Ovis aries: one gene and its partner. The protein of the gene in region 2 interacts with the protein of the main gene of each other region in a biochemical or structural test. Links are inferred from orthologs where the notes say so. Each region holds a gene or a part of one and is shown on either strand. Other genes may lie near its edges.

Region 1 (4,397 bases), on a different chromosome or scaffold from region 2:
GTGTTAACTGCTCATGACCATAAATTTGCCTTTTCCAATGAAAGACTTTGGAATAAAAAGCCATTTAAAAAAGAAAAAAAAAAGGAAGACGAGAACAAAATTGAACAAAATTCTCACATACCACTAAAACACCAAATCTGTTTAAGAATTTTCATACATTTTTTACATGTCACAAAAGTAAAAAAATATACATCTAAACATACAACAAAACGAGATTCTTTTTAAATAAGATTGAATTTAAAAAGCAGTTAATTTAAATCAGTGCATGCTTCAAGGAATCCTCCTTCCATATTACCTATGCCAAACTGAGAGGGTTCACCACACTCCATTCTCAATTACCTAAGCAAAACTATTACCATTTTAAACCCATTATTTCCTTTGTTTGTTGTTGTTTGTTTTTAATGCATTGCCTAGGAGTAAGATAATTCTAACTAGTAACCATTTATCCTGACAAGTGATTGTCCCAAATAATGATACTTTTTAGAAATTAAACTTCATTTCACTAAAATTAGCCAGTAGATTTTGCAAGTATTTTCCTCTGAAGAGTACAGTGTATGGTTGGTATATACAATATTCTAAATACTAAACGCATGCTTCTAATCAGCTATTAAGTGACTATCACAGACATGAATAGTAAACATTCCACAATCAATTCTTCACATTTATACAAAACAGACCCAATCTCAAGCCTGAAACTGAGGCTTCTACCTTTAGAAGAGTAGAAACTAAACTAACTGGGCAGTCCTTAAAAACACACGTAACTACATGACTAAGATACTCATTTAAAACTTATGCCAAGATAGCCCCTCCCTTCAAAACAAACTAAGACTGACTCACAGACCTATTTTACTTAATTTTGGAAATAAAAAAAATTAACTTAAAAGAATTCTTAAGTACTCATTTCCTCTCTGTCCCCCATCATTTAAAACTTCGACCTTCAATCTGTGATTTTCCCCTTAAAAAATGGTTAAATAAAAACAAAAACAAAAGACCCTCAATATTTCCAACTATCTATTTGGAAACTGAAAAAACTACTGGATTCAGGAATGATAAAAACCACTGTTCTAACATCTTGGAAAACAATAGAAAGTATAACTACGGTCGCTAAGGATCGGTCCTACTTTGTGAAACCATCCCACCGCAGATGTCACTCTTCACCTGTGAGACCACCCCCCTCTCCCCGTTTGCTAGAGTTAGCCATCTAAGCAAAAGGTTTCAATTTTGTCTCCCTGAAGTGGGAAATCATCAATCTCCCTATACAACATGTTCCGCCCTCAGTGGATATTTCTACACGGGAGGCCGGGGAAGGCGGGGGTGAGTGCAGTAAAGTTGGTGGCAGGGTGAGGACAAAGGGCATTTTGAAACAGCATTGAAGTAAATAGAAAATGAGGACAGAAAGAGGGCTAAATTCGAGTTCCCTCAAGTGGCTGATGGCAAGAAAACGCAGGCGCCCTTGTTTACCACCCCTAGGGTCCTATTCTCCATTACCACCCACTGGAATGCGAAGTTGGAACCACCACTATATGCAAGAAGCCCTCAAATCCCCAAAATGTCAGGTCAGTAGGCAGCCTCTGGAATGACAGGCCGATACCCCTCCCCCACCCTCCTACCCCACCCCCCCACCCCCAAAAAAAGGTCCAATCCCGTAAGTGCAGGTCACTCTGCCCTCTGGGGTAGTTCCAGCCGGCGCAGAGATGGTTCTGATGGGAGGCCGTGGGGGATCCCTTTCTTTCCGTACACCCTCGGCGGGGGAAACAAAACAAAGACCTCCCCCCTCCTCCTCCGGTAGCCACTACCCTAGCCACAGAGGCTTTCCTATTTCCCGGTGCAGGCTGGCCTCCCGCCCCCGCCCCCATGACAAAGAAAAGGCACCGGGTGAGCAAGCGAGGCCTTCCTGCCTCCACGGATGGGGGGAGGGGGCTGCAGAGGTGAGGAGCCCCCTCCGCTCCCCCGCGCTCCCACTCTCGGCCGGGAAAACAGCCGAAAACTGCGGCCTCCGCCCGGGGAAGCCTGAGCGGGGTTGCGGGTACCTTGAAGTAGCCGCCTTCGTAGAGCGTGTTAGGGGGTCCGAAGATGGCAACCTCCCAGTTGTAGAGGTCGGATTCATCCACCAGGGTGATCCGGAAGCCCTCCACCGGTTCCTCCTGCAGGGATTTCAGCTCGAGCATCAGGGCCTTCTGCGAACTGGTCATCTGCTGCTGGGCCATCGCGGCGGCGGCGGCGCCGGGCCGGGGCCCCAGTCCTCACGCACCAGCCGGGCCGGACCAGGCCCCTCCCCTCCGCTCTCCCTCTGCCGGGCCGCTCCGGGCCCCTGTCTTCACACACCCGGCGGCCCGGACCAGGCCCCACACGGCCCGTGGGCCGGCCCGGTTCCTCCTCACACACGACGCGGGCCGGGCCGGGCCCTTCTCCTCACACTCGGGCCGGGGTGGGGGGAGGGGTGGAGAGAGTTGAAATTCGCTCCGGGTCTCGGGCCTCCCCCCCCCGGAGGGGGCCTCAACTTGGTTGGCGGTGGGGGGGGGAGAAGAGGTGGAAGCGGAGGAAGGCGGCGAAAGGCCGGCGACGGTGAGGAGACCGGGCCGGGATGGCCCGGGAGCGCCGCGCTCGCTCGCTCTCTTGTTCTCCTCGGGGGCCGCCGGGGCCGAAGGGCGCGAGGGGCCGAAGGGCGGGGGAAGCGCGACACGCGGGGGTCTCGCGGCTGCGGCGGCGGCGGCGGCGGCGGCTGCGCGGGGGGAGGGGCGACGGCGGAGGAGGAGGAGGAGAAGAGCGAGAGCGCCTCGCGCCGCGGGAGCGACGAAGCTGAGAAGAAGAAGGGAGGGAGGAGGGGCGCGCGTCGGGAGGGAGGAGGGGCGCGCGTCGGGAGGGAGGGCGGCTCTTGGCCGAGAGCGGCTCTAGGCGGCGAGCGACGCGACGCGCGTGCGCGCGCCCCTCCCTCCCTCCTCTCCCTCCCCACCTCCTCTGCCCCTGCCGCCCTCCTCTCCCTCCTCCCCCTCCTACTCCTCCCACTTCCCCGCCTCCTCTCCACCACCCCGCCAGGTGGCGGCGCTTTGTGACGCCGGCGCGCGTCCCCCGCCCTTAAAGGGCCAAGCGGCAGTGGGGGGTGACGGTGAGGCCGGGGTTTGAGGGTGGCCCCTGGGGGTGCCCTTGTCCCCAAAATGATGGTTGTGCGGCTTGACGTTACGTTTCCAAAGGCGCGCCCCGGAAGGGACCTCTGTCCTAGAGCTGTCATCGCCCTCCTCCCCCTACTTGTACCCTCAGGCCTCCCGCAGTTGTCTTCCTAAGAGCCCTGATCCTCTACAGGCCTAACGTCCCCTCCCCACCCCGCCGTAACACACGGTCTGTCGTCCCAGCACTCAGTAGGTGCTTGACAAGGATGTGCTGACAGTGCGGGTTTTGTCGTTGGGAACAAGCGTCCTGACATTTCTACGGATCCAGTCCTCATGCCATTGTGTCTTTGGAGAGCAGCGTGTTGCCAACTTAGGGGGTTGAAGTGCAGTTTCCCATCCGAGAAATGGGGAAAGCAGATAGGTCAGTTTCTACTTCCCTTAACTACAAAGAGGAAGCTGTGGGAAATAAAAAGAGAAATAATCATACAGACTGAACCTGGGTTCTTGGCCCTTGCTGTGTGATTTGGGACAAATGCTGTGGCTATCCTCCATTTACCCATTTGTAAAATGAGGTACTTGGTTGAACTTTGACCCCCTGCAGATCTTAGACCTGGGGTTCTTTGAAAATAATCATGAGTGAAGTGAGATGTGGAAATTGTCTACAATCCCATAATTTAGGCCCTGTTTCTCTTTGGAAGGCCTGTCCTATGAAAACTGAACATTTTCTAGAAAAGGCAGGATACTGTGAGTTCCACACATTTAGAATTCTGGGATCAGAAACATCCCTGGTTCCAATCCTGGCTCCACCATTTATATTATATTACCACTTCCTTTTCATCAGCTTCTGTAAAAGAGGTTAATTATGCCTAACATATAAACAATTATAAAAATTAAATCATCCATGTACAGAGTTTAGCACAATGACCAGCATATGGTAAACACTCCATAAATAGGAACTTTAAGAAAAAATGGGAGGGGGATTCAGGGTTGGGAACTCATGTACACCTGTGGTGGATTCATGTCAATGTATGGCGAAACCAATACAGTATTGTAAAGTAAAAAAATAAAATTAAAATTTAAAAAATTAAAAAAATTTTAAGGCATAGTTATATTCTGGTTACCACCCCCTCCATTTTTTAATAGACTTAAAAAAAAAAAAAGCAGAGAAAATAGTACAGATAATTTCCATATACTTGGCATCCAATTTCCCCTTATTAACATCTCACATTAGTGTAGTACATTTATTACAATTAATGAACCAATGTTGATATATTATTAACTAAAATTTTA
Region 2 (3,832 bases):
ACTCCAGATCCCACAAGCCATAAGCGTAGCCAGCAAAAGAGAAGCTAGTCTTTGTGAAAGAGCGACAGAATCCCAGCAGGGATGCCCTGGTTCTAGTCATTCATTCTTAGGTCCAGCCCCTTCTGTGTCCCTTACTCCTTTCAGAGGACACAGCCCCCTAGCCCTCACAAACGTTCCATGACCTAAGCAGAAGCTGGAGTCGGCTGCTCTGCAACCAAGGGTCTTTATGAACACCCAGGCAGAACTCTGCAAATATGTGACGCCAGCTGTGTGAAAACCATTCTTCTGCATCGCTTAAGTGTTCCTGCAGTGTGAATGACCACCTGAAAGGGGTTTAAAGGAGGTGATTTCTGCCGAGGGTGGAAGGAACATCGACGGCAGCAGCCACCTGGCCCTGAGCGACTGCACTGCTGGCGGCCAAGTGGGGAAGCTGGGTTCCACCCAGGTTGGACCTCAAAGTTCTTATTACTAAGCTAGAGGTTCTCAAACTTTTGAGTCTCAGGATCCCCTTATGATCTTACACACTGAAGAAACCAAAGAGTTTTTATGGGGGTTGCATCCACAGATATTTACCACAATGGAAATCAAACTGAGAAATTTAAAAGATTTTAAAAGAACAAAAACCCATCACGTTAACATAAATATTTTTATTCAAAGTAACTAGTTTTCAAAACAAAAGTTAGAAGAGTGGCACTGTTTTACATTTTTGCAAATCTCTTTTATATCTGACTTAGCAGAAGACAGCTGGATTTGCTGCTCTCTTTTTTCATTCAATACGTTGCTTTGTCTGAAGGAAAAAAAGAAAAATTGGCCTTGTACAGACACGCAGCCGGAAAAGGAACTTCGTGAACCTCCTGAAAGTGTTTCCATTACTCCCGCAAGTCCTCAGCACACACTTTGAGAATCACTGCAGTAAATTAACCCGCCTCTCAGTTAAAGACTAAGAGACTGAAGTAGTGTTAGAACTGGCAGTTCTGTCCACAGCCAAGGCATCTTAAACAAATTACAAAGGGTGGTGGTGAGGAAGGGAAACCTGAATTCTCCCGTTAACTCTAAATGACACTGTTTTCCAATTTGAGTTCACAGATTACTCCATCGCCAGCCAAGATGACATATTAATTTTTTTTCAAGTTAACTTTTCTAAACTAAAATGAGAAAGCAACATGTCATACACAAAGTTAACACCTGTACAGCGTTCTCACAGTTTATAAGGCCTCTTTCTGTGCCCACATGATCCTGTTTAGTCCTTAGCAGCCACTTCACGGAGGAGGAAGAGCTCGGAGCAGACAGACCACTCGCCCAAGATCATCAGCAGCAGCCAGGCTGTGGACCAGGCTTCCTTGAGACCAAGCGACGTGCTCACAGGACGATCCTGCTTTGGCTCTGATGAACAAACACCTCACTTTCAAAACCTAGCCTTCCACCCTAGAAAGGGGCGGGAGGCCCTTTACTTGTGTTCACTTTTTGCACATACACAAAAGACAGCGTCTGTTCTAGAATCCAACTGGATTTTATTTGACACAGAATACAGTATGGCTGCCAGAATAGCAAACTGAAAAGACAAAGCAGAAGAGACACAGTTCTATCTAATTTATAATAAGTAACAGGAGGGCAAGTCATTCAGTGGATAACAAAAACAGTTGAGCTTGATGGAAGAATTCTTTTTCTAGTGCCCATACCTGGAAGACAAAGTAAATTATTAATTCATTCCTTATCGTGATTCCCTGTTTGAGACTGTAACACCTGCTAAAAATATATCCACCAATCTGGTTAAAACTTTGAAGATTGGGTTTCAACCCTTGTCTCTGCCCCTTTCAGCCTACCGGCCTCCTGTAACATTGTCCCTACCACCCTCTTCATAGTGATGGTCCCCCACTCAACTGCACCCACCTGACTCTTTCCTGGTGCCAGGCAGATACTGGGCAGTGACAGGGAGGAGTCACGGCTAATGGCTGTGAAAGGGAGCTGCACTTGATGGCCAGTATGCAGCTAAGACAGCTTGAATCCTCCGCCCTCTTCCCTGTGGGCCGCCTCTTCCCCTCAACTCCCATACTTGGGCTAGTTTAGGGTAAGACCCCTACAGAGGATAGTAACCGAACAGCCTTCAGTGTCAAAATCTATCACCAGTTCCAATTACAGCCCTGAGTCTGCTGAGCACCACCGAAAGAACTGTCGAGAAACTAGCTATGGATCTCAGGTCCTTTCTGATTTCCTCAGAGGCCAAAACTTGGCTCCAGAAAGATTATAACCAATGGTAGGACATTTTTTCCACATGTAAGATTTCTTGAACACAGAATCCATTATTATCTTAATCTTTGGCCATGGTTCTTAGTGGGTAGTTCGCCTCTAATGAAAATACTTTGCTACACAGATGGAGACCAGGGCACCAGAATTCTGCATCACTGTTGCCATCATCCTGAAGGGCTGCTAGATTCTTTAAGTACTCCTTATAAGAAATTCGCTTAAAAATTCCCTAAAAAAGTCCTCACAGGGTAGAGCTCCAGCTTGTTAGTGAGAATAACCTAGAAGTTATCCATCAGTTTAAAGCATGCTGAAATGAAATTTGCTTCTTATGAATTTGTTTTCCCAGGGCGCTCATAACCACAGCCAGGCAAAGTCACCAGCTGGATAAAGCGACAGTGTCAAAGCCTAGCAGGAGGATTCGTCACCCCCCCACTTCTTAGGCTCAGCCCTGGGCACGTGTATGGGCTACGTGAGACAGTTTTGATCCAAGATGGCACCCTGAGCCTGCTCCACGGCACAGTCAATTACAAAGGTCTCTTGAGAACTTCGAAAATCCCCCTTTCCATTAAAAATTTGATAAATTAACTGAAAATTCAACAGATAAAAAAGCATTTCACAGACAAATACAACAGGCATAAAAACATATGAAAAGCAGCCCAACTTTACTCAAAGTTTTAAAAAATACAATTGAAAACTAATTTTCACCTGTCAGTAGCTAAGATGAAAACGTCTGATAACAAAGCACTGGCAAGAAATGGAGGAGGAAGTCTTCTGCTTCACTGTTGGTAGGGGCTGTGAATTAGTACATACTCTTGGGAAAGGAAAAAAATCTGACACTATCAAAAATAAAAACATACATACTCTTAAACCAGAAATTCCTCTTTTAGGAATTACTAGTACAGACTGATCATTTGAAGTTTTGAAAATTTGCACGCCGTGTATTACTTACACGCTACTACAATTAACAGCAGCAACAATAATGATTTAGTTGAGATAGCCACAGATGCTGTATCAGAATTAATCCCTGTGAGATAAACCAATGAAACATGATATAATTCTAGCCCAAAGCAAAGACAGATGACATTAGTTAGCCCCTGGAGCCTTATTCTTGATGTGATTGTGGAAATATTTAATAGCTTGCAAAATGAGAATTTGCAAGCTTCTACTACTACTTCCAAAGACCCTACCTAGATGGCTGGGAAACTCCAGGCTGCAAGTTTCTAATGCTGGTTCACCTTATACACTTTCCACAGAGACGCGTCCTCATCTAACTAACCGAAAGCTACTTTATGAACCAGCCATGTTCTATGTCTTCATCTTCTAAAACTGTGCACCCTCCAGCTTGACGTGGGTCCAAGAACAGTACTGACCACAAAGCCCAACCTTACATACGATGTCGAAACAGCCGGGGACACCTACTTTTGGAATTCCCACTCTCTGTTGTCCAACGGACACACCTGCCGTGTTTTGAGCCAGCGAGAGATGCAGTGGAAGTGGAAAGCATGCTGGAAGAAAAGATACATTTTATTAAAAATAATTCTGTGCAGGCTCAGCCGTCTACGGACAATATATCTCAAGGGGAGCAGGG

Evidence for each region. The genes of interacting proteins can lie anywhere in the genome.
Region 1: the proteins of RBX1 (region 2) and UBE2R2 form a complex in vitro, tested with the Homo sapiens proteins (10 studies listed by BioGRID). The link is inferred for Ovis aries from reciprocal best matches to the Homo sapiens genes RBX1 and UBE2R2.

The regions. Positions count from the first base shown.
Region 1 is NC_056055.1:37,686,272-37,690,668, forward strand, and holds the start of UBE2R2 (ubiquitin-conjugating enzyme E2 R2), read right to left. Parts: upstream 2,802-4,397; 5' UTR 2,208-2,801; coding exon 2,031-2,207; intron 1-2,030. UniProt on the Homo sapiens protein: E2 ubiquitin-conjugating enzyme that accepts ubiquitin from an E1 ubiquitin-activating protein, and catalyzes its covalent attachment to other proteins by an E3 ubiquitin-protein ligase complex.
Region 2 is NC_056056.1:217,993,060-217,996,891, reverse strand, and holds the end of RBX1 (E3 ubiquitin-protein ligase RBX1), read right to left. Parts: intron 3,750-3,832; coding exon 3,664-3,749; intron 3,024-3,663; coding exon 2,960-3,023; 3' UTR 2,950-2,959; intron 1,680-2,949; coding exon of another isoform or gene 1,617-1,679; 3' UTR 628-1,616; downstream 1-627. UniProt on the Homo sapiens protein: E3 ubiquitin ligase component of multiple cullin-RING-based E3 ubiquitin-protein ligase (CRLs) complexes which mediate the ubiquitination and subsequent proteasomal degradation of target proteins, including proteins involved in cell cycle progression, signal transduction, transcription and transcription-coupled nucleotide excision repair.